Linked DNA regions of Stegostoma tigrinum. The protein of the gene in region 2 interacts with the protein of the main gene of each other region in a pairwise test. Links are inferred from orthologs where the notes say so. Each region holds a gene or a part of one and is shown on either strand. Other genes may lie near its edges.

The links.
Region 1: the proteins of E3 SUMO-protein ligase ZBED1-like (region 2) and efhc1 interact in binary tests that used the Homo sapiens proteins (3 or more experiments, as listed by UniProt). The two-hybrid records come from large-scale screens. The link is inferred for Stegostoma tigrinum from reciprocal best matches to the Homo sapiens genes ZBED1 and EFHC1.
Region 3: the proteins of E3 SUMO-protein ligase ZBED1-like (region 2) and lrrc20 interact in binary tests that used the Homo sapiens proteins (3 or more experiments, as listed by UniProt). The two-hybrid records come from large-scale screens. The link is inferred for Stegostoma tigrinum from reciprocal best matches to the Homo sapiens genes ZBED1 and LRRC20.

The regions. Positions count from the first base shown.
Region 1 is NC_081362.1:98,695,394-98,702,765, reverse strand, and holds the start of efhc1 (EF-hand domain-containing protein 1), read right to left. Parts: upstream 3,046-7,372; 5' UTR 1,379-3,045; coding exon 1,316-1,378; intron 1,009-1,315; coding exon 787-1,008; intron 630-786; coding exon 342-629; intron 1-341. UniProt on the Homo sapiens protein: Microtubule inner protein (MIP) part of the dynein-decorated doublet microtubules (DMTs) in cilia axoneme, which is required for motile cilia beating.
Region 2 is NC_081359.1:101,414,754-101,421,973, reverse strand, and holds the start of E3 SUMO-protein ligase ZBED1-like, read left to right. Parts: upstream 1-4,172; 5' UTR 4,173-4,173; coding exon of another isoform or gene 4,174-4,274; intron 4,275-6,951; exon of another isoform or gene 6,952-6,974; coding exon of another isoform or gene 6,975-7,065; intron 7,066-7,220. Other genes in the region: dhrsx (dehydrogenase/reductase SDR family member on chromosome X), read left to right, coding at 4,174-4,274.
Region 3 is NC_081390.1:940,815-947,833, reverse strand, and holds the start of lrrc20 (leucine-rich repeat-containing protein 20), read right to left. Parts: upstream 3,050-7,019; 5' UTR 2,669-3,049; intron 2,422-2,668; exon of another isoform or gene 2,411-2,421; coding exon of another isoform or gene 2,379-2,410; exon of another isoform or gene 2,354-2,378; intron 1-2,353.

The DNA.
Region 1 (7,372 bases), on a different chromosome or scaffold from region 2:
GAATTAGAGACTCTCCTGACTTCAGGGAACAACTCTGAGCTGGCTCGTCACAGCCAGTGTATTGTGCACATGTAAATAAAAGGTGACTTGGTGACAGCATAGCAGTCTCTGCATAGTTATTTCAATAAAATCTGATTCGAATCTTAATTCTAAAGGGTTAAATAGATTATTGATTACCAAGGAACATCAGGATATATAGGAATGTAGAGCTGAGATTAAAATCAGATTAGCCACCAACTTATTGAATTGTATATCAGGCTCAAAGGGCCGAGTGGCCGACTCTTGATCCTTATATTTGCATATTTATAAGATGATATAATGTTTGTGAAAGGCCAACTTACACATGTAAATTTGTCACAGCTAGTGAGGCGGTATCGCTTTCCATATGCCACCACCTCCATGGCGACATTGAGGTCCTTCCAATGCCAGCAATCTCCTTGGTCATTCTTGGGGAGTCGCTGTCTGTTGATCAGTTTGCCCTGAGTTAGTCCAGAGTTATCCACTTCTGGCTCATGAATGGAAATACTGTCATCCTCCAGGTAATAGTACAGGATGATCGGTCGAACCCGATAATATTCATATGGGGATTCGTGAACTGTTTCCTTGAAATATCCGTCAAATTTCAACACCTGGTTAAAAATTGAGAGAACACTTTCACTGAAAGAATACAATGTGGGTGATGGGAGGCAGGACATGTGATTGAGGGAGAAGGCATGGTCCGTGAGAGGGGGGGCAATAGAAAATATGTTCAGCGGGCGAATGTTGAACAAATTACAAAAACATTACCTTCTTATCAAAAGCCACGTGCCCAGGAACGAAATCTGCTGGTGGGGCCTGTTTGGCCTGGCCATAGGTTAATGTTGGTTTTTTATTAGCCAATTCATCCACATCAGACAGAGACAGCTGATTGACATGGATTGGTTCCCCACCAATCCCAACCTTGGGCACAACAGGGACAGCAATGCCGTTCTTGTAGAAGAAAGTCTGTGATCGATGGAAGTTAGACTTCTAAAGACAATTAGAATGATAGAATTATCAAAACAGGAACAAGTAATTCATTCCTTTTTAAAGATAATCCCTAACTCGCCATCTTCTCCATGCCTCATTTGCATTCTTTCCTCAAAAACCCAATGAGATATAGGAGCAGGATTAATCCATTCGGCCCATTCCTTCATCGATGCTCTTCACCCTCACCGTCTGCTTCTCTCTCCCTCCAATAACCCCGTCTCTTTCTCTCTCTCCCTGATACTCTATCTCTCCATTACCCATCTCCCTCCTCCAATGACCCCCCCCCCCCCCCCGATGTCCCTCTCACCGTGGGGTCCCGGAAAGTATTGCCTGGGAGGAGTGGGAGCCCCCGCACAGGATAGCAGGACATTGCCTCTGCCCTGGCTGGCAATTCTCCCTCTCCTTCAACACAATCTATCTCTGTCTCACACTCTATCTCTCTGTCTCTCTTCTTTTTTCTCTCTCGCACACACACACACACACCCCTTTCTCTCCTACTTTCTCTCACTCACTCTGTCACATACACACTCTGTATCTCTCTTGTGCACACACCCTGTCTCTCTCTCTCTCTCTCACACACACACTCTCTCTCCTGTCTGTGGGTCTCTCTGTCTCTCTCTCTCACACACACACACACACACACACACACAGTCTCCCTGTCTCTGCGTCTCTCTCTCTCACACTCTCACTCTGTGTGTCTCTCTCTCTCACACACACACTCTGTCCCTCTGTCTGTGTCTCTCTGTCTCTCTCACACACACTCACACACACTGTCTCTCTCTCTCTCTGTGTCCCTCTATCCCTCTCTCATGCACACAAAACTGTCTTTCTGTATGTGTGTGTCTGCGTATGTGTGTGTCTCTCTCTCACACACACACTCCGTCTCTCTCTCTCTCACACACACACACACACACACACACACACACACACACACTCCGTCCCTCTCTCTGTATCTCTCTCTCGCACACACAGACAACACACACTGTGTCTCTCCCTCTCTCGCACACACACTCTGTCTCCCTCTCTCTGTGTCTCTCTGCCTCTTGCACACACTCTGTGTGTCTCTCTCTATCTGTCTCTCTCTCACACACACACACACACACACACTCTGTCTCTCTCTCTCTCTCACACACACACTCTATCTCTCTCTCACACACACACACTCTGTCTCTCTCTCACACACATACTCTGTCTCTCTCTCTGTGTCTCTCTCTCTCTCTGTGTCTCTGTCTCTCGCACACTCTCTGTGTGTGTCTCTCTCTCTCTCATACACACTCTGTCTCTCTCTCTCTCTGTCTCTCTCACACACACACTCTGTCTCTCTCCCACACACAGTGTCTCTCTCTCTCTGCCTCTGTCACCCACACACACTCTGTGTGTCTCTCTCTCACCCACACACACTGTCTCTCTCTGTGTCTCTCTCTCTCTCTCACCCACACACACTCTGTCTCTCTCTGTGTCTCTCTCTCACCCACACACACTGTCTCTTTCTGTGTCTGTCACCCACACACACTCTGTCTCTCTCTCTCACCCACACACACTCTGTCTCTGTCTGTGTTTCTCTGTCACCCACACACACTCTGTGTGTCTCTCTCTCACCCACACACACTCTGTCTCTCTCTCTCTCACCCACACACACTCTGGCTCTCTCTGTCACCCACACACACTCTGTCTCTCTGTGTCTCTCTGTCACCCACACACACTCTGTCTCTCTCTCTCTCACCCACACACACTCTGTCTCTCTGTGTCTCTCTGTCACCCACACACACTCTGTCTCTCTGTGTCTCTCTCTCACCCACTCACACTGTCTCTCTGTCTCTCACCCACACACACTCTCTCTCTCTGTCTCTCACCCACACACACTCTGTCTCTCTCTCTGTCTCTCACCCACACACACTCTGTCTCTCTCTCTCTCACCCACACACACTCGGTCTCTCTCTGTCACCCACACACACTCTGTCTCTCTCTCTCTCACCCACACACACACACTCTGTCTCTCTCGGTGATAACCGGTTTTTTCTTCTCGGTTTAGCTCCGAATCTGTTTCTATGGAAACAGTAAACAAGCCAGGCTCACTCGGCAACACGTCAATCCGAGGGCGGATTGGCTGAGAATCGGAGTCGCTTTTCTCCTTGTTTTTAACCACATTCCCATCTCCCAAATATTCCCAATCCTCAATCATTTCCTATTCCCAACAAACCCCATCTCCCAAATGTGCCCAATCCTCACTCATTCCCAATTCCCAACAATCCCCATTTCCCAAATATTCCCAATCCTCAATCATTCCCAATTCCCATCTCCCAAATAATCGAAATTCTCAATCATTTCCAATTCCCAACAATCCTCATTTCCTAAATATTCCCAATCCTCAATCATTTCCAATTTTCATTTCCCAAATATTCCTCATCCTCAATCATTCCCAATTCCAAACAATTCCCAGTTCCCAAATAGTGCCAATTCCAATTTCCCAATAGCAACTCCCAACTTCTATTTCCAATTCCAATCAGTCCTAGTCCCCAAGTATTCCATTTCCCAAATGTACCAAGTATTGATAATTCCCAAATGTTTCCAATTTCCAATCTCCAATCATTCTCAATTCCCATACACTCCTGTTCCCTAAATATCCCAAATTCCCCCAAAGTTCCTAATTCCTAAATATTCCCATTTATCAATGTATCCAATTCCCATTAATCAAAGTATTCTTGACCCCAAAATATTCCCAATCCCCAAATGTTCCCAATTATTCCTGATACCCAAATATTCTTGATCCCAATAATTCCTGATTCCCTTTTCTAAAATATTCCCAATTCCTAATTATTCCTGATCACTAAGAATTCCCAAATACCTAAGACTGTATTTTTGATCCAGAAAAGTGCTCAGTCAGCCTCAGATTATGTTGGAAGGGTATGGTATTAATTTTGAGCATCAGATGGCATTAGCCATTTATTTCTGCTCCTAAGCAGAAACAACAAGGGAACTGTTCACCACTAACACAATGTTGCTGATGAGCCAAAATGTTGTTCTGCATTCCATGCAATTGAGTAATTGGGCATATGAGATCCAGTGCTGTTGTGATTGGCAGATATGTAGGCTGTTAAATCCAAACAAGTGAAGGATTATATCAAACAGCTTGTCCCCTTGTCCGTCTGCAACAGGTAAACTGCTGACTGTACTCCACCAGACTGTGCATGCAAAACTCAGAACATATTTTCCAACATTAAATGGGATTCCACAAATGGATAACAATTGCTAAGAGACATAGATAAGCTGCAGAGCTGGGCTGAGAGGTGGCAAATGGAGTTTAATGCAGACAAATGTGAGGTGATGCACTTTGGTAGGAGTAACCAGAAGGCAAAGTACTGGGCTAATGGTAAGATTCTTGGTAGTGTAGATGAGCAGAGAGATCTCGGTGTCCACGTACACAGATCCTTGAAAGTTGCCACCCAGGTTGACAGGGCTGTTGAGAAGGCATACAGTGTTTTAGCTTTTATTAATAGAGGGATCGAGTTCCAGAGCCAAGAGGTTATGGTGAAGCTGTACAAAACTCTGGTGCGGCCGCACTTGGAGTATTGCGTACAGTTCTGGTCACCGCATTATAAAAAGGATGTGGAAGCAGGATGACATTAGTGGGTAGATGGGGGTGGGGCTTGAGGTGGCAGGAATGGTTAGAGAGGAGGGGACGAGCTAGGCTGGTTTTGGGATGCGGTGGGGGAAGGGGAGATTTTGAAGCTGGTGAAATCCACATTGATACCATTGGGCTGCAGGGTTCCCAAGCGGAATATGAGTTGCTGTTCCTGCAACCTTCGGGTGCAATCGTTGTGACACTGCAGGAGGCTGAGGATGGACATGTCACCTAAAGAATGGGAGGGGGAGTTAAAATGGTTCGCGACTGGGAGGTGCAGTTGTTTATTGCAAACCGAGCGGAGGTGTTCTGCAAAGCGGTCCCCAAGCCTCCGGTTGGTTTCCCCAATGTAGAGGAACGAGCCCAGTTCGTCCCCGCCTCCCTAACCTGTTCTTCCTCTCACCTATCCCCTTCTCCCACCTCAAGCCGCACCTCCATTTCCTACCTACTAACCTCATCCCGCCTCTTTGACCTGTCCGTCCTCCCCGGACTGACCTATCCCCTCCCCACCTATACTGTCCTCTCCACCTATCTTCTCCTCTATCCATCTTTGGTCTGCCTCCCCCTCTCTCTCTATTTATTTCTCTCCCCTTCCCCTTTTTAATGAAGAGTCTCAGCCCAAAACGTCAGCTTTTGTGCTCCTGAGATGCTGCTTGGCCTGCTGTGTTCATCCAGCTCCACACTTTGTTATCTTCCATCCATTGGCTCTAATTTACCAACTCTATAGGTCAGATGCTCAAAAAATTCTGGTAGATTTGTTAAACATGATTTCTCTTTCATAAATCCATGCTGACTCTATCTGATCATGTCACCATTTTCTAAGCATTCAGCTACTAAATCTTTTATAATGAACTCTAGCATTTTCCTTACTACCATCAGAGCAACCTCTATCACTCCTCCTTTTCCCTCTGCCTATGCTTTTAAATAGTGGCGTTACATTAGAAACCCTTCAATCCATAGGTAATGTTCCAGAGTCTATAGAACCTCGAAAGATGACCACAAATGCATCCTTGGACCATATCCTTAAACATTGTGGTATATTGATTATGGAGCCTTGGGGATTTATTGGCATTTAATCCTATCAATTTTCCCAAAACCATTTCTCTATTAATACTTATTTCCTTCACTTCCTCCTTACCATTGAAGCCCAGGTTTCCCAACACTTTTGCAGTGATATTGGAATCCTTTTTTTGTGAAGACAGAACCAAAATATTTATTTAATTGGCCTGTCATCTCTTTGTTTCCCGTTTTAACATCCCCTGTTTCTGAGTGTAAGGGATCTTCATTTGGCTTCACTAATTTTTTTGTACGTATCCCTCATACTTGGTGTCACACTCAATATTCCACTTCTTAATGAATCCCTTTGTCCTCATTGCTGAAATTTAAACTGCTCCCAATTTTCAAGACTGTTGCTTTTTTTTGTATTTGTATGCCCCTTCCTTAGATTTAATGATATCCCTCACTTCCCCTTGTTATCCACTGTTTCCATATGTTTTGTGGGCAGGAATGAGCAATTGTTGCAGTTTCTCCTTGCGCATTTTAAATTTTTGCCATTGCATATCCACTGTCATCTCTTCAAGTAACACTCCCCAATTTATCATAGATGCCTCAAACGTCATACCATTGTAGTTTCCTTTACTTAGATTCAGGGCCTAGTCTCAGAATCAACTGTGTCACTCTACATCCTAATGAAGAATACTATCATATTTTGATCACTCTTCCTCAAGGGCCTTGCACACTTAGATTGCCAATTATGCTTTTCTCAATACACAAGACCTGGCCTAGGATGGCCTGTTCTTTAGATAATAAAATGTGAGGCTGGATGAACACAGCAGGCCAAGCAGCATCTCAGGAGCACCTGAGATGCTGCTTGGCCTGCTGTGTTCATCCAGCCTCACATTTTATTATCTTGGAATTCTCCAGCATCTGCAGTTCCCATTATCTCTGGCCTGTTCTTTAGTTGGTTCTTCAATGCATTGGTCCAGAAAACCATCTCATTCATACTGCAGGAATTCCTCCTTTGTAATATTGTTTCCGATTTGATTCACCTACTCTATATATACATTAAAATTGCCCCTAATTACAGCTATAACTTAATTGCTTGTAAGTCCAATTTCTTGATTGACGCCTTCCTCAACGTTACTACTATTGTTTGGGAGTGGGGCTAAATACAACCTCCATTATTGTTTTTGAGTCTTGCTTTTAATTTCCCTCTTATTGTATGATAAGGTGTTCATTAGAATGACCTTTCAAAGCCACATCTCCTTCCTCAGTGTCCTGTCTACAGCTCCAATTTACCCCATGTGGTTATGGATTTCCAACTGAAGTTCATCTTTCATGGTTTGAATCAGATCAGAAGACACATGATACCAGACTATAGTCTAATAGGTTTATTTTAAATCACAAGCTTTTCATATTTCTGCTCCTTCATCAGGTGAAGTGGAGAGATAATTGCAAGATAATTCCAGGGAATTAAGAATGTCAAAAGGGTGTGAATGGAGCATTGACAGGCTGAATATCACATCTTGTCATTAGAATTAATCTTTCCAGCCACATCTCCGTCCTCAGTGTCTGTATCCAGCTCCAATTTACCCCATATGGATATGTATTCCATTCAGCCTGTTAACACTCCACTCACACCATTTGTACCATCTTTTGACATTCATAGTTACCTAGAATTACCTTGTAATTATGAAAGCTTGTGATTTTAATAAACTAGATCAGTTCTGAGGAAGGGTCACC
Region 2 (7,220 bases):
ATTTCACGCAACACATCCCTCACACTCCGCCCCTGCAATAACCGCCCAAAGAAAATCCCCCTAGTCCTCACATACCATCCCACCAACCTCCGGATACAACGCATCATCCTCCGACACTTCCGCCATCTACAATCCGACCCCACCACCCAAGACATTTTTCCATCCCCACCCCTGTCTGCTTTCCGGAGAGACCACTCTCTCCGTGACTCCTTTGTCCGCTCCACACTCCCCTCCAGCCCCACCACACGCAGCACCTTCCCCTGCAACCGCAGGAAGTGCTACACTTGCCCCCACACCTCCTCCCTCACCCCCATCCCAGGCCCCAAGGTGACTTTCCATATCAAGCAGATGTTCACCTGCACATCTGCCAATTTGCTATACTGCATCCACTGTACCCGGTGTGGCTCCCTCTACATTGGGGAAACCAAGCGGAGGCTTCGGGACCGCTTTGCAGAACACCTCCGCTCGGTTCACAATAAACAACTGCACCTCCCAGTCGCAAACCATTTCCACTCCCCCTCCCATTCTTTAGATGACATGTCCATCATGGGACTCCTGCAGTGCCACAATGATGCCACCCGAAGGTTGCAGGATAAGCAACTCATATTCTGCTTGGGAACTCTGCAGCCCCATGGTATCAATGTTGACTTCACAAGCTTCAAAATCTCCCCTTCGCCCACTGCATCCCAAAACCAGCCCAGCTCGTCCCCGCCCCCTACTTCATCCCAAAACCAGCCCAGCTCGTCTCCTCCTCCTTGACTTGTTCTTCATAACATTATATTTAAGTAGCTCGTTTCAGGCAGAACTGATTGAATGGAAGTTAATGGGCTTATCTGACAGCTGTAAGAGGTAGCTCTTGGGGTATCCATAAGATGGTTGAGATAAACTCTTGTAACTCAAACATTAGCTTTGTCTGCAGCCTTATCAGTTGAGAACAGAGGCAAGGGACCACTCTCAGATTGCTCTATCACCTTGAAGTGTCATTTTCCTGTTGGCTATTTAATTGTCCAACACTGTTCAGGATTGGTTGTCCCAGGATTGCAGAACTTTCATCTGATTTGCTAGATGTGGGATCTCTGTCCAATGCATCTAATTTTGTGGTTTGTCATACAAGTAGTCCTGTGTTGTACCTTCATCGGGTTAACACCTCAGTTTTAGGTCTGCCTGGCACTGCTTTTGGCATGCTCCAACATGATCAAGTCTGCTCTCAAACTTCTGTAAGATGAACAACACAAGCTTCTCCAGTCAATGCAAGTAACTGAAGACCCTCATCTAAGGGACCAATCTTGTAAATTTTTTTCAGTTCCCTCTCCAAAGTCTTCACATCCCTGTTGAAGTGTGATCAGAATTTCATCGAAAACGGCAATGGAAGCTGAACCAGCAACTTTTGCTTAAGATTAATTTTGTTACTGTACGGTTGTGCTCTTTGCTATTTAGACACCTTGGTCCCAAAAGTTCCATGCACTTGCTCAACCTGCCCTGTGGCTCAGCCTGAATTGTTGTTTCAGGAACAAAAACAAAGTTGCTGGAAAAGCTCAGCAGGTTTGGCAGCATCTGTGAAGGGAAAAACGGAGTTAACATGTTGGATCTGGTGACCCTTCCTCAGGACTGTTCTGAGGTCACCAGACCCGAAACGTTAACTCTGTTTTTTCCTTCACCGATGCTGCCAGACCTGCTCAGCCTTTCCAGTAACTTTGTTTTTATTCCTGATTTACAGCATCTGTAGTTCTTTCGGTTTTTATTCTGAACTGTTGTTAAATATGGAAGATGGGTAATGAAGACATGAATGATATACCGGGTTAACAAAGTGTGAAGCTGGATGAACACAGCAGGTATCTTGGATTCTCCAGCATCTGCAGTTCCCATTATCAATGATATACCGGGTAATGGTTTTGGCAGTTGGCGTCGAAGTTTTAATTCTTCTTTGGAATTGAAGGAATTTTGAAGAGAATTAGGAAATTGACAAAAACCAGGGGATACCAAATGAAGTTTAGAAGTTCAGAATAAACAAATGAGTCAAATAGAACATTTTCTTCCAAAGGGGATAGATCACCGGGGAAAACCACTGAGGTTTATACAAATGAGCTCATAAGTTGCTCAGATACATATTTGGGAAGAAAAGGGATGGAAGGATATAATCAGAAGTTGTGTGGATCCAACAGATACTTACAAAAATTATTTCCTTGTTTGATCTAACACCAGCATCTAATTGGTGAAAAACCTCGGGCACATTTTTGGAATGGAGTCATAGAGTCATACAGCACAGAAACAGGCCCTTCAGTCCATGCTGAGCATAATTCCAAATTAAACTGGTCCTGCCTGCCTGCCTGCTCCTGGCCCATATCCTTCCAAACATTTCTGGGCTGTGTAATGGTTTATATACTGGCCTTACCTTGAAAATGTAGTTTCAAATCAGCTTAGATTGATAAGATAAATGTTATTTGATGGCTATGAGGATCCTCTGTAGAATGGGTTTTACACTGAACAACCATATAAAACTACACGGTGAAATATTTACCCATTCAGTGTAGGGAAACTTGAATGTCAACCTTGACAGAAGGTCACACAATTTATGCAATACTATTGTATACAGTAAAATGTAGTAGAAATGTTCTACACTGGTAGCTTCCGCACAGTGAAAAAAAATCTACGCAATAAATGTTACATACAAACCTATGCAGAAAAGAATTATCTATAACTGAAAGATTTCCAAAGGGATACATTAGTTGTATAGATTCAGTAATATTCTCACAACACAGTGTCCACCATTGACCAGTGTCTAACTCTCCCTCTCTTGTACAGTATGAATGTTGTCTACCCTTTACATTGATAATTCTTGTGAATTGTCATGATGAGTGCAAAGTGAAAAGGTTTAGCGAATGTTTTGTCATCGGATGACAGAGACGGGGATCTTGAAGGATATAAGACATACAGGAAGGACAGGTAGCTAGGAAAAAATGGAAGGTTGGCTCTGTTAGATATTGATAGCAGGAACACAATAGAGTCGAGAGCCTAAGTTCAGGATGTGGAAATAGTTTGAATGGAGATGAGAAATAATAAAGGCAAGAAAACACTTATGGGAATGGTGCACAGACAGAAGACCAATAGACAACATGATTGAAACAGATGAGATCCTGAGGGATTTTGACAAGGTCGATGTGGAGTGGATGTTGCCTCACAAAGAGAAGTGTAGGGCTGGAATATAATCAAAACTTTCAGGATCTTGAGGGAAAAATTGCTGTGAGTAAGAGAATGACATGATATTTAAAGCCTTTGTATTATCTAAAGGTAGAGAAACTTCATAGTGCTTCAGTGCTTCAAAGCGATCTGGGTGTCCTTGGGCATGGCTCACACAGAAAACTATTTTACTGGTACAGCAGGTAATAAGAAAGGCAAAAGAATTTTGGCATTAATTGCTAAAGATGTAGAGTGTAAGAGTAAGGAGGTGTTGTTGTAACTGTACAAGACATTAGTCAGACTGCAGCTGGTAATCTTCAACCCCTTACTTGAAGAGGGATGTAGTTGCATTGGAGGTAGTTTAGAGCAGGCCTACTAGATTGATTCTGGAGATGAGGGGTTTACGTTATGAAGAAAAATTGAGCAATTTATGCCCATATTTCTTGGCATTTATGAAAATGAGATGAGATCTAATTGAGGTAAAAACGATCAAAAAGCGGGTTGACAAAGCAGATGTAGAAAAGGTGTTTCTTCATTTGTGGCAATCTAGAATGACAAGTCATTATTTTAGGAGAAGGGCTACTAGATTTAAAACAGTAGGAGAAATTAGTTCTCTCAAAAGGTCTTGAATCTGTGGTATTCGCTGCTGTAGGCTGCGGTCAATACCGGGACAATGAGTAAGTTTAGAGAGGAGATAGACTGATTATTAATTAGTAATGAGTTGAAGAGTTATGGGACCAGGCAGGAAATTGCAATTCAGGCTGAAATGAGATCAGCTATGGTTGTATTAAACAGTGGAGCAGGCTTAAAGAGCTGAATTGCTTACTCCTAGTCCTAGTACTTCTGTTCATCGCAAATAATTATAAACTGAAGGAATGCAATTCTACACTGTTAAAAGTTTGTTTACAAGGCCAGAATGGTTAAGATTTATCATACCTTTAAAATGTACTTTTGAATTGGATAATTCCTAACTGTTTCCCTTATGTTTACTCATAGAGTCACAATGATGCAGAAGGAGGTAATTTGGCCTATTGGTCCATGCCGGTTCTTTACGGGGACAATCCAGTCAGTCCCAATCCCCTGTTTAGCGGATATCTGTAAGTACAACAGGTTCCTGTCAATTTAAGTGCATCAATAATGGGAATTCTGGTGGGATACTGGTGTCATTATAGATTTTGGAGGATCAGAGCAACATCCTAAATTTTGCTTTCAACTACTTTGGTATAGGCATCAGAAATCATTGTCCAATTTTACACTTTAATAATAGCGAGCACTTGTTGCTTCACTATTTTTTTGCTGCAAAATATGGGTGGATGTACATATTATGTACTAATAGACTGAACAAGGATTCACTATTAAAGTAATATAAAATCCATGAATTTGTGCTCTGACAAGTTACATGTTGAAAATCTTTTTAATACCACACATATATAAATCCTAATTGATCAGCTCTTCCAAAAGCTTTGCTATGCTAATATCATGCCTCAAAGCTTGTCACTGTAATGCTTGGAAGGCACTAAATAGTTGACCTTAATGTGATAAATACCATATCATCAAAAGTTTGGACTTGTCCATTGAACATCATAACATAAAAAAGTTTTTTTTCACTTTTCCCTTCTGTTTTGCCTCTCTCTATTCATCTCATCTTTCTTTCTCTCTCTATTTTGCTTTTTGAATGTGATATCGTGTTGAGTTAATTATCCTAATTTATGTTAATGATCAGACTCTGTGAGTAGGTTCTGAGTGAGTTAAAATCAGACCCACAGTAAAGATTCTTCAATTTGATTTAGTTGAGACAAATGTGATGTTGCTTGCATTTCCCACAAGTCTTGATTCCCATTTAGAATTTGTCGTTGTCTCTCAGGTTTTTAATTGCACCAAGTTCCAGTGCAAAAACCAGTTGAAGATCTGTGTGTGTGTGTAGGTGAAATAATCAACATTTGATGAAGTCTTTTTTCTCTTAAGTAGAGCCACAGCCTGCTTAGAATTTCTATGATAGTTATAACTTCTCATTTCTGCTTTCACCTTTATAAATATATATATTTATTTAACATCTGTTCCAACACCTCTATTTCCTTTTCATGATATAGGGATATGACAATACACAGCGCTCTGTATTTTAATTTCATTCCTCGCTAAATGAAACCTCTCCTCCACATAAATATATATCTCTTTCAGATGAGACTTAACTAAGATCCAGCCGATGTCATCTGGTGGATGTAAAAGAATCCTCAGCACCATTTCAAATTATAGCAGAGATGTTCTTCCCAGAGTCCTCACAATATTTTAAACTAGCATTGCAAAGATAGGCGAATTAGCCAATGTAAACTAGCATGTTTTTGTGTGAGCTTGTGCCTTGATTGACTGCGATGTACCCTACATTTTGCAAACTCAAAGACTGGTCCAACCCGCAGAACTGCAAACTGTTCAGGTCCCAAATGTATCTGAGACAGATCCAAACTTGGGCTGTTAGCCATTAATGTGATCTGCACTGGCTCTTGATCAGGCAACCTGTCTCCTCAAGGAGTCTGAGTTGCTGTAGCAGATGCACTTTGACTTTTATGCTGCAGTGCAGAGCCAGCAGAGGCTCCACTTTGTCTTCCTATCTTACAGCTGACTAACAGTCTTCCAGTTTTACTGCCTATAGATGGCATATGTCGGGAGGGTCTGCAGCTTGATACACAAGCTACTTTGAAGGCACTGAGAATGAACCTTCTTTTGGTGAGACTTGAACGCAGAGAGTCTGACTCAGATTCAGGGACACTAACACTGCACCAAAAGACCTCTAGCTCCCTATAATAGCGTTCAAACTTCAAAAGTGCTTCATTGGCTGTAAAGTGCTTTGGGGCCTCAGGATCATGTGATTGTGGAAGGCCAATGCAAATTTTTCAGTCACATCTAATTCAGTTACCTCTGCTTTCCTCTCCACAGATGCTGCCAGACCTGCTGAGTTTGTCCAGAAATGTCTGTTTTTATTTCAGATCTCCAGCATCCACAATGCTTTCCATTGATATATGTAATTTGTAAATAAATGTACACACACATACATACAATGCCTGGGTGAGTGCAGCCACTGCTCGGTATGTGTTGGTTTGAGTGTGAGTGCTAATGGGAACTGCAGATGCTGGAGAATCCAAGATAACAAAGTGTGAAGCTGGATGAACACAGCAGGCCAAGCAGCATCTCAGGAGCACAAAAGCTGATGTTTCGGGCCTAGACCCTTCATCAGAGAGGGGGATGGGGGGAGGGAACTGGAATAAATAGGGAGAGAGGGGGAGGTGGACTGAAGATGGAGAGAAAAGAAGATAGGTGGAGAGGAGAGTATAGGTGGGGAGGTAGGGAGGGGATAGGTCAGTCCAGGGAAGATGGACAGGTCAAGGAGGTGCAGCTTGGGGTGGGAGGAAGGGATGGGTGAGAGGAAGAACAGGTTAGGGAGGCAGAGACAGGCTGATGAAGGGTCTAGGCCCGAAACGTCAGCTTTTGTGCTCCTGAGATGCTGCTTGGCCTGCTGTGTTCATCCAGCTTCACACTTTGCTATCTTGGATTCTCCAGCATCTGCAGTTCCCATTATCACAGAGACTGGTTTTGGGATGCAGTGGGGGGGAGGGGATTTGCGTTCATCCAGCTCCACACTTTGTTATAAGATTGTTATAATGCGTTGGTTTGAGCTGTGTTGTAGGAGGAATTGGAGGTGGGACTGTTAGTGCGGCGGAACGTCTGTGCGGCTCAGTGTGTTCCACGCTGGGGGACGGTTCTCGTGCTGTACCCTCCTCGACTGCTCTCGCTCGGTTGCTGTAATGTCGCCCCTCTCCGCGTTTCTGTGGACCTACGCCGTGGGGGTGAAGGTGTTGCTCTCCCAGCTGCTCGGACGCAACTTTTTGCTGCCAGGTTAGAGAGACCGCGATTAAATTGTCCTGGTGGCTGACATTAAAATCCCAGCATTGTCTGTTCACCGGGAAACTCCGTTCCAGTGTCCTGGCTGCCTCCCCCCGCCCTTTGTAGATCCATACGCTCTGTTCAGTGTGTCTGTATATTCGTTAACC
Region 3 (7,019 bases), on a different chromosome or scaffold from region 2:
TTCTAGGCTATCACCTTCCCTTCAAATCTGGTCATGGGCCAATTAAATATTTTTAAAGGTAGACAACAGGAGGCAAGAAGAACACAGCAAGCCAGGCAGTATCTGGAGGAAAGGAGAAGTCATCATTTTAGGTATTACCCTTCTTCAGGACTGGATGTGGGGGTAGGAGGAGCTGCAGATAAAGTGGCAGGAGTTGGGGGAGGGGTGTCGTGGAATGGTGGTGATAGGTGGACACTGGTAGTCCATAGGACCTGGTTGGTCAATGAGAGGGATGAATCCAGTTGTTGGCTGGAAGGAAGGGTCAGAAGGTGGAATGGAAGGGAGGAGGTCAGGCTGGAAAGGGAGCTGGCGAATGGATGAGAAGGTTATTTGAAATTGGAGGCCAATGTTGAGTCTTCCAGTCGATAGGGTGCCCAAGCAGAAGGTGAGATGTTGTTCTTCAAATTTGTGTTCTGAGTCGCTGCAACACTGGAGGAGGTCAAGGATGGACATGTCAGAGACGGAGTGGGTGGGGGGTTGAAATGGACAGTGACCAGGAGATAAGGTTGGCTGTTACAGGCCAGATAAAGATGCTCGGCGAAGCAATCACCTAGTATACATTTGGTCTCACCGACGCAGTGAAGACACATCGGGAACACCAGATGCAATAGGCTAGGTTGGAGGAGATGCAAGTGAAGTTCTGTCTCACTTGAAAGGACTGTTTAGGGCCCCAAATGGAGATGAGGGAGGTGGTGTGTGGGCAGGTGTTGCATCTTTTACAGTTACAGAGGAAGGTACCAGATGGTTGGAGTGGTTGGTAGGGAGTGTGGTGCAAATTAAGGAGTGGCAAAGGGAATGGTCCTTGTGGAAGGCAGAGAAGGATGGGGGGTGGAAGATGTTCTGAGTGGTGGGGTCGAATTGGAATTGGCAAAAGCGTTTGAGAATGATACATTAGATGCAGAGGCTAATGGGGTAGAAAATGATGACAAGGGGGACCCTACCTTTCTTATGTTTGGAGGTAGGGGTGGTTAAGAGCTGTGTAGTGGAAATAGAACATAGGAACATTACAGCACAGTACAGGCCCTTCGGCCCTCGCTGTTGTGCCGACCTGTCATATCGATCTCAAGCCCATCTAACCTACACTATTGCATGTACGTCCATATGCTTATCCAATGACGACTTAAATGTACCTAAAGTTGGTGAATCTACTACCGTTGCAGGCAAAGCATTCCATTCCCTTACCACTCTCTGAGTAAAGAAACTACTACCTCTGACATCTGTCCTATATCTTTCACCCCTCAATTTAAAGCTATGCCCCCTCGTGCTCGCCGTCACCATCCTAGGAAAAAGGCTCTCCCTATCCACCCTATCTAACCCTCTGATTATTTTATATGTTTCAATTAAGTCACCTCTCAACCTTCTTCTCTCTAATGAAAACAGCCTCAAGTCCCTCAGCCTTTCCTTGTAAGACCTTCCCTCCATACCAGGCAACATCCTAGTAAATCTCCTCTGCATCCTTTCCAAAGCTTAAACATCCTTCTTATAATGCGGTGACCAGAACTGTACACAATACTCCACATGCGGCCGCACCAGAGTTTTGTACAGCTTCACCATAACTTCTTGGTTCCGGAACTCGATCCCTCTATTAATAAAAGCTAAAATGGAGCAGGTGCGGTGGAGGGCTCTCTGGATGACAGGGGAGCAAAAAGAGCATTATTTGAAAGAGGCAGACATCCAGGATGCTTGGGAGTGGAATGTCTCCAGACTGTTGAGCTGCAGGAAGTGCAGCTACCAATTCGTGCACAGCAAGCTTCCACAAACAACAATGTATTACTAACCAGCCTATCAGTTTCTATGATGTTGTTTCATGGATTAAAGTATCTTTCCATTCTCAAATATTGCCATGGAATCTCTTGCATCTACCCAACAAAAGTACAAGAAACCTACATCAAACATCTTATCTGAAAGAAGGCACCTCCAACAATGGAGAATTCGCTCATTACTGATCCTCTGACAATGCGGCACTTCCTCTGTACTAAACATCCGATGGTGCATCACTCCCTCGGTACTAACAATCCGAGAGTGCAGTACTTTCTCAATATTGACCCTTCAACAGTGCACGACTCCCTCAGTACTGACCCCCTGACTATGTGGCACTTGCTCAGTACTGACCCTTCAACAGTGTAGTACTGCCTCAGTACGGACTCTGCAACAATGCAGTACTTTCTCAGTACTGACCCTCTGGCATTGCAATGGTCCCTCAGCACAAAAATCACCAACTGTTACTGCGAACTGAACTGCTGTGAGTGTGTACAAGGGAGGCAGGGTGCACAATGGGGGTAGAATTAGCTAGTGTTTGTACAGTGAGTAAGTGTGTTTCCAGTGGGCAAGGGTGTTCAATGGTTGAGTGCACAGCGAGGGTGAACAATGGGTATGTATTTGGTAAGTGTGCAGTGAGGGTTTACAGGTAGGAGGGTATGCAGTGATTGAGGGTGTAGTGTGAGGTTGCGTACAGTGAGGGTATGCAGTGAGAGGTTGAGTACAGTGAGGGTAATCAGTAAATGAGAGTGCGTACAGTGAGTATGTATAGCCTTCTCTGTCGGTCTCTACTTTTCTGTCCGTCTCCTGCGGAAACAATGTTTCTCTCTCGCGGACTTGGACACTTTGTATCCCGGGCCCTGGCACTTACCTGAAGCCGGGGTCACCGTCAGCCTGGAGCCCCAAGAGGGAAAGGGAGAACGCGAGGCCCAGGCCAGGGACAATGGCCTTCAGGAACTGAGCTCCGAGAGAGAGAGAGAAGGCGGAAAAGAGAAATTAATCTAAAGAGGGATAGAGAGTAATGGCGGAATGAGGGAGGGAAATCAGCAAATAAACAGAGAGAATGACCAGGGAGCGAGAAAGAAAAAGGAGGAAAGTGAAAGGGAAGAAGAGAGAAGAAGTCGCGGGGGGGGGGAGACGGAGACGGGGGCTGGGAGAGATGGGGAGTGAGGGGGAAAGAGACTGGAGATGAGGGAGAATCACTGAAGAGGATTGGGGGAGAGACAGGGAAGGGGACGGTGTCGTGAGGGAGAGACAGGGGAGGGGAGGGTGGGGTAGGGGAGAGACTGGGGTGGGGGAGAGACTGGGGGGAGGGGAGGGTGGGGTGGGGGAGAGACTGGGGGGGAGGGGAGGGTGGGGTGGGGGAGAGACTGGGGGGGAGGGGAGGGTGGGGTGGGGGGGGAGGGGAGGGTGGGGTGGGGGGGGAGGGGAGGGTGGGGTGGGGGGGGAGAGACTGGGGAGGGGAGAGTGGGGTGGGGGGGGAGAGACTGGGGAGGGGAGAGTGGGGTGGGGGGGGGAGAGACTGGGGAGGGGAGAGTGGGGTGGGGGGGGGAGAGACTGGGGGAGGGGAGAGTGGGGTGGGGTGGGGGAGAGACTGGGGGAGGGGAGAGGGGTGGGGTGGGGGAGAGACTGGGGGAGGGGAGGGTGGGGTTAGGGAGAGACTGGGGGGAGGGGAGGGTGGGGTTAGGGAGAGACTGGGGGGAGAGGGGAGCGTGGGGTGGGGGAGAGATGGGAGGGGAGAGTGGGGTGGGGTGGGGGAGAGTGGGGTGGGGTGGGGTGGGGGAGAGACTGGGGAGGGGAGAGTGGGGTGGGGTGGGGGAGAGTGGGGTGGGGTGGGGTGGGGGAGAGACTGGGGAGGGGAGAGTGGGGTGGGGTGGGGGAGAGTGGGGTGGGGTGGGGTGGGGGAGAGACTGGGGAGGGGAGAGTGGGGTGGGGTAGGGGAGAGTGGGGTGGGGGAGAGACTGGGGGAGGGGAGAGTGGGGTGGGGTGGGGGAGAGACTGGGGGAGGGGAGAGTGGGGTGGGGTGGGGGAGAGACTGGGGGAGGGGAGGGTGGGGTTAGGGAGAGACTGGGGGGAGGGGAGGGTGGGGTTAGGGAGAGACTGGGGGGAGGGGAGGGTGGGGTGGGGTGGGGGAGAGACTGGGGGAGGGGAGAGTGGGGTGGGGTGGGGGAGAGACTGGGGGAGGGGAGGGTGGGGTTAGGGAGAGACTGGGGGAGGGGAGGGTGGGGTTAGGGAGAGACTGGGGGGAGGGGAGGGTGGGGTTAGGGAGAGACTGGGGGGAGAGGGGAGCGTGGGGTGGGGGAGAGATGGGAGGGGAGAGTGGGGTGGGGTGGGGGAGAGTGGGGTGGGGTGGGGTGGGGGAGAGACTGGGGAGGGGAGAGTGGGGTGGGGTAGGGGAGAGTGGGGTGGGGGAGAGACTGGGGGAGGGGAGAGTGGGGTGGGGTGGGGGAGAGACTGGGGGAGGGGAGAGTGGGGTGGGGTGGGGGAGAGACTGGGGGAGGGGAGGGTGGGGTTAGGGAGAGACTGGGGGGAGGGGAGGGTGGGGTTAGGGAGAGACTGGGGGGAGGGGAGGGTGGGGTGGGGTGGGGGAGAGACTGGGGGAGGGGAGAGTGGGGTGGGGTGGGGGAGAGACTGGGGGAGGGGAGGGTGGGGTGGGGAAGAGATTGGGGGGGGAGGGGAGGGTGAGGGGGGAGAGATCGGGGGGGAGGGGAGGGTGGAGTGGGGAAGAGATCGGGGGGGAGGGGAGGGTGGGGGGGGAGAGATCGGGGGGGAGGGGAGGGTGGGGTGGGGAAGAGATCGGGGGGGGGAGGGGAGGGTGGGGTGGGGAAGAGATCGGGGGGGGAGGGGAGGGTGGGGTGGGGAAGAGATCGGGGGGGGAGGGGAGGGTGGGGTGGGGAAGAGATCGGGGGGGGAGGGGAGGGTGGGGTGGGGAAGAGATCGGGGGGGGAGGGGAGGGTGGGGTGGGGAAGAGATCGGGGGGGGAGGGGAGGGTGGGGTGGGGAAGAGATCGGGGGGGAAGGGGAGGGTGGGGGAAAGAGAGACTGCGGTGGGGTTGGTGGGGGAGAGACTGGGGGGCAGGAATGAGAGATTGGGTGAAAGAGAGACTGTGGTGGAGTGGGGAGAGAGACTGAGCAGGAAATAGAGACTGGGGGGTTAGTGGGGAGAGCGGAGTGGATGAGGGATTCCCGGAGTGAGCGGTCCCTACGAAAGGCAGATAGGAGTAGGGAGGAAAATATCTTTTTGGTTTTGGAGTCGGATTGTACATGGTGGAAGTGGCGGATGATGTGCTAGATGTGGAGGTTGATGGGGTGATATGTGAGGACAAGGGGAATTCTGTCTTTATGTTTGTTCTGTGCGGTTTGAGGTCAGTAGAGCAGGAAATGCAAGAGATGTGGCTGAGGACATTTTTAATCACCGGAGGGGAAAGTCCTTGGGATAGGAGGATATCTATTTTCGAGATAAAAACCGAAGGAACTGTGGATGCTGTAAATCAGGAATAAAAACAGAAGTTGCTGGAAAAACTCAGCAGGTCTGGCAATATCTGTGAAGGAAAAAACAGTTAATGTTTCAGGTCCGGTGACCCTTTGGTTTTTTTTATATCTTCCAGAGACTGGGGGAATATGTGAGAGAGAAATGGGAAGAAGAAGGAAAAAGACAGAGATTGGGTAGGGGGGAGAAGAAAGACAGAGACTGGAGAGGGGCAGGAAGAGAGAGGTGCAGACAGGAGGTGAGTGCATGACTGGGAAAAGGAAATTGGAGGAAGGGAGAGAAAAATTAGCTGAAGAGAAAGTGATAAATGAGGAAGAGGGAGACTGAGGGAAAGAGGGAAAAATTGTTGATAAATTTCCAGGATCAGATGAGCTTTACCCCAGATAACAAGGTGTGGAGCTAGAGGAACACGGCAGGCCAGATAGCATCAGAGGAGCAGGAAAGTTGATGTTTCGGCCTGGACCCTTTTTCAGAGAAATGTAAGCTTTCCTGCTCCTCTGATGCTGCCTGGCCTGCTGTGTTCCTCCAGCTCCACACCTTGTTATCTCAGGCTCCAGCGTCGGCAGTTCCTACTCTCTCTGAGCTTTGCCCCAGAGTGCTTAACAAAGTAGCTATATAGATAGTTTAAGAGATAGTAGGAACTGCAGATGCTGGAGAATCTGAGATAACAAGGTGTAGAGCTGGATGAACACAGCAGGCCAAGCAGCATCATAGGAGCAGGAAGGCTGACGTTTCAGGCCTAGACCCTTCTTCAGAAATGGGGAAGGGGGTTCTGAAATAAATAGGGACAGAGGGGAAGGCGGATATAAGATGGATACGAGAGAGTTGCAGTGGGAGAGAGATCCACTGAGGCTTTTCCGGAGGGAGGAGGGTAACTGCTTCAAGATAGGCATCCTTAAAAGAGGCTTCGCACTGGGGTTAAAATTGTTTAAGAGATAGTAGGAACTGCAGATGCTGGAGAATCTGAGATAACAAAGTGTGGGGCGGGATGAACACAGCATGCCAAACAGCATCAGAGGAGCAGGAAGGCTGACGTTTTGGGCCTAGACCCTTCTTCAGAAATGGGGGAGGGGAAGGGGGTTCTGAAATAAATAGTGTCCAGGTCCAAAACGTCAGCCTTCCTGCTCCTCTGATGCTGTTTGGCCCTGTTGTGTGCATCCAGTTCTACACCTTGCTATCTCAGATTCTCCAGCATCTGCAGTTCCTACTATCTCTTGAACCCCACTGCGAAACCTCTTCTAAGGATGCCTACCCTAAAGTTGTTACCGTCCTCCCTCCAGAAAAACCTCAGTGGATCTCTCTCCCGCTGCAACTCTATCGTAATCTCTTCGACCTTGAAACTGCTCGACCGGTCTGTCTCTGTTCCATGTATCTTCTCCTCTATCCATCTTCTATCTACCTCCACCCCTCCCTATTTATTTCAGAATCCCCTTCCCCTCCCCCATTTCTGAAGAAGGGTCTCGGCCCGAAATGTCAGCTTTCCTGCTCCTCTGATGTTGCTTGGCCTGCTGTGTTCATCCAGCTCTACACCTTATTATCTTAGCTGTATAGATAGTGCATGTGTTGCTGTTATTTTTCAGATTTCTTTAGACTCTGGGATTATCCTGCTGATTGGAAGGCAGCAAATGTAATCCCACTATTTAAGAAGGGAGGAAGAGGGAGAATGGAGAAGTACAGACCAGTAAGTTTGATTTCAATTGCAGGGAAAATATTAGAATTTGCAATAAGGGATG